Linked DNA regions of Mus musculus. The protein of the gene in region 1 purifies or fractionates together with the protein of each later gene. This does not show direct contact. Links are inferred from orthologs where the notes say so. Each region holds a gene or a part of one and is shown in the gene's direction. Other genes may lie near its edges. The genes, in order: Slc7a11, Cd44 and Otud5.

Region 1 (3,653 bases):
TTCACGACGTTTGATTTTTGCCTTCCATTTGTTTTTTAAACTTTAGAAAACACAGAAAAATATTCCAGATCCTTATTGGTTTTCCTGTTTCAGTGGATATCAATCATTTGCTTTCCTTTGAAGACAACACTTTTTCCCTCAACTATGCACATGGCCAGGTGCTCCTCAAAGGAGAATACTTTGTCATGGGTGCTATGTCTGCTTCCTTTCTTTCCCTCTTTCTTCTTCTCCTTTCTCCTCCCAGGGCCTCATTTCTACTTTGGACAATCTGAAATAGGGCAAACACAGTGTTTCTTTGTTGCTGATGACAACCAAGATCAAGTTTTTTTTTTTTTTCTGTCTTTCACTTTTATGTCAAAGTTGGACCTCTTTAATTAAAAAAATTATCCTTCTCATGTGATGAGCCATTAATCACACAGTCACTTGCATAGAGAAATAGATACTCATTAGGTAACTTGGGGAGAAGCAGGGTTGTATTTGACTATTTTCTATATGCAACATCTCTGTACGTATTCCAGACAGAAATTATTTCGATTTTCATCATTTTGATAATACCGTTGAGCACTGACAGTGGATCTAGTTATCCCTTCACGCATTCATTCAAACATAGCTGAATTATGTTAGCCTCCATCTCAGACCTTTCTTAGTCTTCTCATAATTACCGCTTTGACTTACTTCATTACTACCCCCTATTTTACTGTCAGTGGAGACTTTGATCCCCCCCCCCCACACACACCTTTTTTCAAATTTGAAATTTTCAAATTTTCAAAGTTGAAATATTTTGACATTCTGTCATCTGTAGGTTCTTGATGTTACTTTTTAATTTGTTTCTTTATTTTATGTATATATGTGCTCCATCTGTATGTATACCTGCATGCCAGAAAAGGGCATTAGAGCCCATTACAGATGGTTGTGAGTCACCATGTGGTTGCTGGGGATTGAACTCAGGGGCTCTGGAAGAGCAGCCAGTGATCTTAACCACTGAGCCATCTCTCCAGCCCCTGATATTACTTAATAAATATCTCTCCTGACATCCTTCTTTCCTCCGTTTCGGACTTTATCATCCCCCACCCACCCCCATGCATCCATCAATGACTAGTTAACCTCCTCTGTGGCTCAGTGGCATATCCCATAAACACTATGTCATGTGATGTATGATTGACTATGGTATATTGATTTTTAGATGGCAATCCAAAACCATTAAAAGTATGTATATTAATTAGGCACCGTTCTGGTATAGATTGTTTTAATTTTCACATTTGTTATTGCCTATTAATGGCATCTCACCAATTCTTAATTATGGAATTGAACTAATAGATTATATTATACAAGGGAAACACAGTGAGAACTCCCGAATCCACACAATTCTAATTTGAATAGTATGAATTCCACTGGTGTTTCTTTTAATGCCATGAGAAATAATTTTATGCATTTAAAAATCTTTTTAAGAGAGAATAATCTTTACTAAAGTAAAGCTTATTGGTGAAACCCATAAATGTCAGGAATGAAATAGCTGATGTTTTGGGCTATACTGTGCCTATGTTCTTGGCAAGAACATAAAGTTGAAATTTACTGTGTAGAAATAATCCTGAACACTCCATTGAGAAGAAAATGAAAGCGTAGAATACCACCATTAAAACTGTGCTTTAACATTTTTGAGAACCCAGTTCATTCATTCATTTACTCATTCATTCAACAAAAATATGTTATCTACCTGGGCCAGGAAGAGATTATTGGCAATTATTGGCAATGCCAGGATGAATAGCCACTTTTCCGTCTTTGATGTGGACGGGGGTGGCTGTTTAGGAAACTGTCAACAGTATCTTAAGAAGAAAATCTTCTGGCTTCAGACTCACTGTGCATCCTAAGCTGAAAAGTCCCAAGACCTTTTGCTTCAGTAGAAAACATATGTTGGCAACCAATACTTGCAGGGTAGATTAAAACTCACCCTCATTATCTAGTTGGAAGTCAGGAATTCCAAGAATAGTTCTTAGTAGGTCTGGTCCTGATGGTACAGAACAGGATCTCAGACAAAGCACTTCTTACCCCTTCTTCAGTACTATCCTGACCACTGGATGACTTCAGGATGAAGCTATTTTACTTTATTGTTATTGCATAAAAATATATGTTCATTGTTACCAATGCGTAAAGAATAAAAGAGATCCTCTGACTGTATAGGAGACTTATCCAAGCTTCTCAGACTTGAGTGTCTCTCAAAGAGCCATCTTAATGCAGGAGAGCCTGGATCTGGACAGAGCCTGGGATTCTGCACTTCTTAATTTCTGGTAGTTCATGCCAGCACTGCAGGTTTATAGATCTCATTTCGACTGACAAGGACCTAAGACATTGTTGTGCTCATGGGACTTTGCCTTTTGTGACTGTGTCTGTTTGTTTGCAGCTGTGGTGATGGTCCTAAATAGCACGAGTGTCAGCTGGAGTGCCCGGATCCAGATTTTCCTAACCTTTTGCAAGCTCACAGCAATTCTGATAATTATAGTCCCTGGAGTTATACAGCTAATTAAAGGTATGGGCTGAAAAGGAAATGCGTTTTAAACTGCGTATCTGCTTCTGGTCTCTTCTAACACCGACTTTCGCTTGTCTAGCAGAATCCTTAATTAGTCTTTGCTTGTGGAACTTAAACTCTGTACTGTCATCTAATTGATTTGAAAGGCTACATCGAGGATGAGTTGGTATTTATAGTTGAATGGCAGCAAGAGAATTAAGACTAGATGGAGCAACTAAAATGAGGTGTCTGAGAATTCCCTTGGTATGAGTGGCTTGGAGTCAACCCTAAAGTAAAAAGCAAAAACAAACCAAAATGAATTTGCTATTTAGTTTTAAGTACAGATCAATATGTTCTTTGTTTGCACTCCAGAACTTTTCAGTAGTAGAAACAATTATGAAAGATAAAAATATTTCTGGAAAATAATGAAAGATGACCGATAATTCTTGATTTTTTTCATTTGCATTTCTTCACTCCGAGATCAGTATACACAGAAGAGTAGTGAAATCAAGATCCTTATATGACAATAAAACATTGCAAAAACTTAGCTTTTATTATTACATTATTTTCTATGTAAAACTTTCATTTCTGAAGAAATGGTGTAGCTTTTGGATTTGTCATTGAGCTTCCTATTTAATAAGATAAGAATTTGAGTGATGATGTCATAGTGTATGGTTGGCCCTAGTAGATGGTGTGTGTGCTTGCATAGATTTAGTGGAAATGTTCCGAAGAGAAAGAGGACCCACCAGGTTATGGAATTTGTAGCAGCAAATAGAAATGATAGAGTGAATCCATTGGAGAGAGGTGACATATCATGTGGGCATGTTAAGTATGTGTCATTTACATTGACATTGTCAGTTCCAAGCAAAGGAATTTATAGGGAAATCCAATGACCCTGCAGGAGGAGAGTTCCAACACAAAAGGAAGTGGCAAAGCTCAGCAAACCCATTGCCATCATAGAGCCACCAAGCAACCACCTTGAGAACTTGGTCACTCTAGTTAGGAAAGGGAATGGCTCTTGTCCATTTAATCATCCTAGTGGGTGATCTTAGAGTCCTGTTGGTAAAATGCTTCGGTCAAATCCAGTAACCTCAGCCCCTGAATAAACACAATGAAGTGAGAGAAGATGTGGGCTCGCTGTCCATACTCT
Region 2 (3,653 bases), on another chromosome or scaffold:
TGCTTCAAACATTATAGATGACGATGTCAGCAGCGGCTCCACCATCGAGAAGAGCACCCCAGAAAGCTACATTTTGCACACCTACCTTCCTACTGAACAGCCTACTGGAGATCAGGATGACTCCTTCTTTATCCGGAGCACCTTGGCCACCAGTAAGGAGAATGGCATCCTGGGTTTTCCTCTAGCAGTTCTTTGACAGAATGCCAACGGCCTTCCTGAGTAACGCACACCCCAGGGTCTGTTTTCTGCCATCTCTAGACATCTAGCTGTGGGTGAGATCATTTAGGGAGTCCAGCTCTTGTTCCTGTCAGTGTTCCTGGTCATTGTGCCATGGCTTCTACTCCCCTTCAGATCCCCACCATCTTCACCTCTGAACCTCTTACCTTGGGATAAGGAATGCCATATTGGCAGGGTTTCCTCAGGAAGGTGCCGATTTTCTCTTGCTCCTAAGGATTTAACAGTGCCTCCGACCTGTTACAGAAATAATTTGTGGTGTTGCTTGTTTTATTCTTGTCATTTGCCATTTTCTTTAAGAGAAAACTGTTCTCTTAAAGTCAGGACTGTAGAGTGTATGCTCCATCAGTGCCTTAAAGGATCCATTCTTAGGATTCTGATTGTGTAATATCCATATTCTTAACCCTAATTTTCAAACCATGCTCCCCCCCCCCCCCCCGCCAAAGGAAGCAAGAGTGAGGGGTTTTCTGATCACCTTCTGTTGCTGTAGAGTTCTGGATTGCAGTTTGTGGGGGAAGACCCTAATGCAAGAGCATTAGGTATCTGTGGGCAATGGCAGGGGAGGCAGCCCATGCAGCATTGAGTGGCTGCAGGTTTGTGCAGATGAGCTCTGTTAGGAAGGTGCTCAGAGATTTTTATCTCCTCCACTTCCCTCTCTGCACTTCCTCTATGGTTTGTTTTAGAATGAGGTTTTAGATGGCCGGGCTCCTTCTGTGGAGAATTATTCACACCCAAAAAGGGCAGCTAAGCCTTCACTGAGCCTCCTAGTATGGTGTGGATTTTCACATTTCCTGGCTGAAACTCAGAGGGGTGGAACTCTGGCTTTTTCACCGTTTGGCAGGAACGTACTGGCTTGGGAATATACAAGATAGGGCCCTTGTCACCCAGAAGCCAGGAAGCCTCCATAGCACTCTGAAGCAAGCTGAACTCACTTAACAGTGTTTTAGATTTCTGTTATCAGGTTGCTGAGTGAGGGGGAAGGCTGATATGAACGGGTGCAGGATTCCAGTCATTCTCAGGAAATTGTTTGAAGCCTTTCCAAAAAATAAAAAAGAATCCCCCATCAGATTCCGGGGGTTCGGGGATAGCTCAATGGGTAAAGTGCTTGCCAGGCAAGCACATGAGGACCAGAGTTTTTTGATCTTCAGCATCTACATAAAAAGTTGAGCATGACAGTGTGCATCTGCACTCCTAATACTAGACAGAGACGGGGAAAACCTGGAGCTCACTGGCTAGCCAGCCCGGGCAAGTCAGTGAGCTCTAGCTTCAGTGAGGGTTCCTAGCTCAAAAACTAAGGTGGACAGCAAGCAGGATAACATCTTGATGTCAACCCCTGGCCTCTGCACATGCCTAAGTACACGGACTCCATCTATCCACATGAGGCAACGCTCACAAGCTTCTCACGCCCTCCCAGGTCACTTCCTCTCTGATGGTTTGTCACCTTGTTGTCTGTAGTGTCCTGGGAAATACCTCTCCACAGAGACCTCTGCAGAGCAGGCAGGTGACATTGCGAGCTATGTGCACCTACTTGGGTCCCCTGTCCTTTTGATGCAACCGTGTCTGACGTGCTTCTCATTGGAATGTGCAGTTTTGACAGATGTTGGCAAATACAGTAATTAGTGGTCTGATAAGGAAGCAGAACAGGTCTAACCTAAAGTCCTATTTCCCACCCCAAAAGAACATCCTCGAACAAAATCTGTCATGTGGAGATTGAATACAGCTGGAGTCCCAACCTGTGTGGGGTGGGAGTTTCACATGTACTTGAAGAGGGGTAATTGGCCAAATATATTAGCATCCTTAACCCATTCCCTAAGCACTGCTCCTTCCCCATCCAATCTGGCCAGTCAGTGAATCCATCTTAAGGTGCTAATTTTGTACCAGATCCATTCTAATACTCAGAGTCTCAGGGTTGAGCATGGCAGCACGCATCTGTATCCTAGTAACAAGGGTAATGGAGACTGGAGGTATCCTGCAGCTTGCTGCCTAACCAATTTAGCCAAATTCAGGTGCAGTGAGAGATCCTAGCTCAAAAATAAGGTGGACAGCAATCGAGGAATTTAATGTCAACCTGTAGCCTCCACACATGCACAAGTACACAGACTCCATCCGTCCACAAGGTACATCAGTTCAAGCTTCGGTGCTCTCCCAGGTCATTTCCTCTATGAATATCAAAAAAAGAAACCAGGGTCAGTGAGGTTTTCATCCATTCACTCCATATCATGTGTCTTCTCTGCTCCAGACACTGCTGAGGTTTATGAGGGTCAGAGGCAGATCGCCCTTCACGGGTACAGCATCCTAGCCCAGAAATCAAAGAAAGGGAGTGACCGAAGCGTACCTAAAACGCAGCTCAGGATTCGAGGGAAAAGGAGCTTTTGCCTTCCCTTTTTTAGAGAGCATGTGGCTTAGTTCTTTTTAATGGGTGTGGAGGAGAGGCCAGTTTGCCCACCAGTTTAAGTTTACTTGAATGTAGCAGGTAGCAAGAGAGCTATGCTATCTAAGCTTCTGAATAGAATCCTACCTTTTAAGTCCCATGAGGAGCTTCCCAAGGGCTTACTTATCACTGTTGGGTGGAGGGCTGAGACACAGTGAGAGGGAGTGGATGGAGATTAGCATGCAGGGGAGCAGAGGTCAAGAGCTGGGCTGGCTGAGGACATGGAAGAAGCTGTGCCTGGCTTAGCCAGCTCATTCTTCCCTTTAGGGTGCTCAGTGGGTGGCAACTGGGAAAACTAGCAAGAACAACAGGCTCTGTAGGCTTGGGTTATCCCACTGGCTGCTTATTATAAATGTTATTTTTGGAAGGATCTGCCTGGAGGTGTGTCATCAGTTCCTTCTTATTGGTCATCTGGAATTCTCTGGAATCAAGAAGCCTAAACTAATTTAGGAACTAGGCTCCTGCCTTGGACAGCACTACTTCCTGTCTTCTGGGTGTAAAGTGAATAATTTGTTTTCCATCTTACATGACCTTACATGGGTGGGGCAAGTTGAAAACTCACACCTAGGCTGACACTTCTTTCACTGTCTCCTCTCACACAGCTCCACTTAGGAAGGTGATATCATGCTCATTTTGTCTTCTGTATGTCCGTTTTTTCTTAGCTCATTCTCTGGGGTACTTCCAGGTAGGGGTCAGAAACTATGCATCTTCAGTGCAGTTTTCCACAGGAGGCAGTCTGTAGCCTCTTGTGGGTGCCTTCCTGGGAGCCTTGTAATTGCCTTCTCTCTCTGCTTTCACTAACGTGACCTTTGACATTTGTTATATGTGATGCTCCCATTCTAAACTGGAGTTCGCATGGAACCCAGTAGGTTCTTCATGGTATGCAAGAATCACCTGCAGTATGTGAAGACCATAACCTAGATTTTCAGGGAAGCGTTTGAACTAAAACATTTTCTTTCTTAAAACCCCAGCTGATTCAGACAATGAT
Region 3 (3,653 bases), on another chromosome or scaffold:
GCAGCCTTTGATTCCTGTATTATACAGAACCCTCATGGAGGGAATCACTGGGCAGTGAAGACCCCTGGCAAGTCTTCAGAGAAATAGACTGGCAGGCTTGCTTGGTGGGCACGTTCCCATTCCTAGCATTCCCTGCCCCTGTGCCCTAGGGGGATCCCATTAGAACTGTGTATCTCTGGGGAAACACAGGGAAATTCCCTTTTCAAGGCAGCCAGTGAAAGTCAGGTTTGCTTAATCTTCAAGCCCACATTAATTAAGAAACTCTTGCTTCCTGTGCCTCAGCATATATGACTGCTCAGCAAACTGTACTCAATTTCTTTTACTATATCAGGTCCTGAGCTGCCGGTGGGCTTAGGTGTGAGCTGCCCCTTATCTTCAGTGGAGGCTTTGTGTAATCAGTCTGTGTACACCTTTGAGTTGGATGGTAGAGGAGTTCTACCACTTTACACAGACTGTCCACATTGTCCACAAGAAACCTGTCAGGTCACACCTGTTTGTTTTCCACTTCACAGAGGAGGCATAGGAAACTCAGAGAGTCATTTGTCTCTGGCTGTTTACCTCACTAGTTACTATTTGGCAGAACTTAAAGTGTTTTCCTTCCCTTCAGTTTTTAAAATTCTAATCATAGCCATGTGTGTTGACGCACCTCTTTAATCCCAGCACTAGGAGGCAGAGACTGGTAGGTAGATCTCTGGAGTTCAATGTCAGCCTGGTCTACAGAATGAGCTTCAGGATAGCCAGGGCTACTCTGGGAAAGAAAGAGTGGGGGCCAGGAAGGAGAGAGGAAAGGAAAGGAAAGAAAAGATTCTAATCATGGTGGTAGCCTTTAATCCCATCACTAAGAAGGCAGAGGCTGGCAGAACTCTGTGAGCTTGAGGCCATCCTAGTCTATGTATCAAGTAGCAGAGCAGTCAGAGCTATAGACTGAGACCCTATCTCAAAAAAAAAAAAGATTCTAATCTTTTTTGTGGTGGTGGTAGGTATTGAATGTAGCGTTTGGTTTGGCTTGAAATGGAGTTTTACTAGATCTCAGGTGATCTAGGCTTTGAACTTGGCAATTCTCTTGACTCAGCCTTGATTATAGGTATATACTGCTCTCCTTTGTTTCCCCCACTGAGACAGGGTTTCTGTGTTTATCGCTGGCTGTCCTGGAGCTCACTCTGTAGACCAGGCTGGCCTCGAGTCCTGGGATTAAAGGCATACACCACTGTGCCCAACTTAAAAACTTTTTGTTATTTCATTTTTATTAGTGGGTATGGAGATTGGGATGGTCACTACATGTAGAGGTCAGAGGACAAGTTAAGGGAGCAATTTGGTTCTCTCCTTCAACTGTATGAGTCTTGAGGATTGTACTCTAGTGCCTTTATCCACTGAGCATCTTGCTGGCCCTTGACTGTACTACTCTCACCTGTCTACCCTATACGCTTTCATTCTTCAAGAGTGTTTGACTTTGCTACTTTTTTTTTTTTTTAGACAGGTAGCCTAGCCTGGCCTTGACATAATCTTCTGGCCATTCCACTTGCACATCCTGAGGGCTGGGATGGTAGACATGTACCAGGCCACCTGGCTGATCTGTGCATGTTCAGCATGTTTTCAGCCCTTGCTTGTTATTTCCACCACTCCTTTACAACACAAATGAAGGCTCAGGCCTTGGTGTAGAAAAGGGAGTTTCCCTAGTCCTTCAGTCTGTCTTCTCCCTAATGATTGTTGTATGACTCTGTGACTCAGAGCTCTGGTGGTGACAGCTCTGACCCCATCCTCTCCTTTGTTTTGTCCTCACACCCCCAGCTGACCAGGTGTATGGAGACCAGGACATGCATGAGGTTGTTCGAAAGCATTGCATGGACTATCTGGTGAGATCCAAGGGAGGCCTTGGGGCAGCAGGAGGGTAGGGGGACCCCCGTTGCACACAAACCTTAATTTTCCAATCTATTCCACAGATGAAGAACGCTGATTACTTCTCCAACTATGTCACAGAAGACTTCACCACCTATATCAACCGGAAGCGGAAAAACAACTGCCATGGCAACCACATTGAAATGCAGGCTATGGCAGAGATGTACAACCGTCCTGTGGAGGTGTATCAATATAGCACAGGTACTTCTGTAGTGGGTAGGTGAGGGACTAATGGTTCCTCATCAGAGCCAACCATACCGGGCCCCCCTGTGGATGCTCCCTCCTTCTCTTTCTCTGCAGAACCTATCAACACATTCCATGGGATCCATCAAAATGAAGATGAACCCATCCGTGTCAGCTACCACCGGAATATCCACTATAATTCAGTGGTGAATCCTAACAAGGCCACTATTGGTGTGGGGCTGGGCCTACCGTCATTTAAGCCAGGGGTAAGTGGGTCCCTGTGCCCCAGGTAGATATGGATCATTGACTCTGCCCTTAGACCATAAAACTGTCTCCCCCTAAGTTTCACCTGTCTATAAAATTAGTGAGTCACCATTGATCAGAACTCATTCTGTAGCTTTTGATTTGCCTGTCCATGAAGTGGCTCACTAATGTTATTCTGGTTGAGCCTTTTAGGATGTAGAGCTCAATTTGAAGCAGTAAGGCAGACCTTGGACTAGGTATCCAAGCTTCCACACAGGTAGATCTTCTCCAACTTCAGAGCACTTACAGTTGGAGTCACAGACTTGGAATGTAGCAGCTTACTGGAATGGGCCCTGTGGACAGATTGTATTGTTTGGGCCTATACTGAAAGTCCTTCCCACAGGCCCAAGACCTAATTGGTGTCAGAAGATGGGAGTTGATTTGCCCAGCATCCACTGGCAGATAATCATTTCCGTCTCACAGTCTCTCTCCTCATCTTCCCTGCTCCATCCTCCCCCTTTCATCATGTCCTCTGATCCTCCCTCTTGCCTTCCTCCTAGGCTCTTTCCCCTTCTCCTCACCCCACTTCCTCTCCTCCCCACCCCCTCTCCTCCCTGGTCTCTATCTTCCCTTCACCCCCTCCTGGGGGTTTTGAAGTCTTCTATTCAGGTTTCACTTCCTACAAACCGAAGGTGGTCCTGCCTAATCTTAAACAACATCAACATACCCTCCAACCTTGGTGGGGGGGTGGGGTTATTTTTTAACTAAATTTTAGAAAAGTTACAGATTTGCAAAATGATTGGGAGAATATTAGCATTTCCATATGCCCCACTATGATTAACATGAACATAGTACATTTGTTGTCATTAACAAATCAGTATGGATTCATTAAGAACAATTTCCTCAGTTTCTACTTGGTGAGCCTTTTCCAGGATTCTGTCTCACATTTAATTGTTCCCTTTGACTTCTTGTGACTTTAACAAATTCTAAAGAATTTGACTGCTTTTGTTTTGATCTGGTGACCCACTCCACCGGTTTAGAATGTCATCTAATGGGAATTTCGCTGCGTGTATGTAGCTATTCCAGAATGAATTTTTTCTACTTAATTAATATCATTTAAGATTCATCTGTAACTTTTACTTTATTTCCTTTTCCTTTAAACGTCTGAATGTTTAAATGTTTCTCTAATTAATAGACTTCATTGTTCAAAACTATTTTACATTTGTTTTGGGGAGGGGTTTGTGGAGGTCTCTCTGTTCATCAAGCTTGGTGCAAAGCCCCCTTCCTCCTTGAGAACAGTGTTCTCAGTGTACAGTTTCCATCTAGTCTCT

The links.
Region 2: the proteins of Slc7a11 (region 1) and Cd44 purify together in Homo sapiens (affinity purification with western blotting; 3 studies listed by BioGRID and IntAct, with this or other methods). This does not show direct contact. The link is inferred for Mus musculus from reciprocal best matches to the Homo sapiens genes SLC7A11 and CD44.
Region 3: the proteins of Slc7a11 (region 1) and Otud5 purify together in Homo sapiens (affinity purification with western blotting; 3 studies listed by BioGRID, with this or other methods). This does not show direct contact. The link is inferred for Mus musculus from reciprocal best matches to the Homo sapiens genes SLC7A11 and OTUD5.

The regions. Positions count from the first base shown.
Region 1 is NC_000069.6:50,426,522-50,430,174, reverse strand, and holds part of Slc7a11 (cystine/glutamate transporter), read left to right. Parts: intron 1-2,398; coding exon 2,399-2,524; intron 2,525-3,653. UniProt on the Homo sapiens protein: Heterodimer with SLC3A2, that functions as an antiporter by mediating the exchange of extracellular anionic L-cystine and intracellular L-glutamate across the cellular plasma membrane.
Region 2 is NC_000068.7:102,849,514-102,853,166, reverse strand, and holds part of Cd44 (CD44 antigen isoform c precursor), read left to right. Parts: coding exon 1-152; intron 153-3,653. UniProt on the Homo sapiens protein: Cell-surface receptor that plays a role in cell-cell interactions, cell adhesion and migration, helping them to sense and respond to changes in the tissue microenvironment.
Region 3 is NC_000086.7:7,865,727-7,869,379, forward strand, and holds part of Otud5 (OTU domain-containing protein 5), read left to right. Parts: intron 1-1,788; coding exon 1,789-1,853; intron 1,854-1,940; coding exon 1,941-2,097; intron 2,098-2,196; coding exon 2,197-2,345; intron 2,346-3,653. UniProt on the Homo sapiens protein: Deubiquitinating enzyme that functions as a negative regulator of the innate immune system. Has peptidase activity towards 'Lys-48'- and 'Lys-63'-linked polyubiquitin chains. Can also cleave 'Lys-11'-linked ubiquitin chains (in vitro).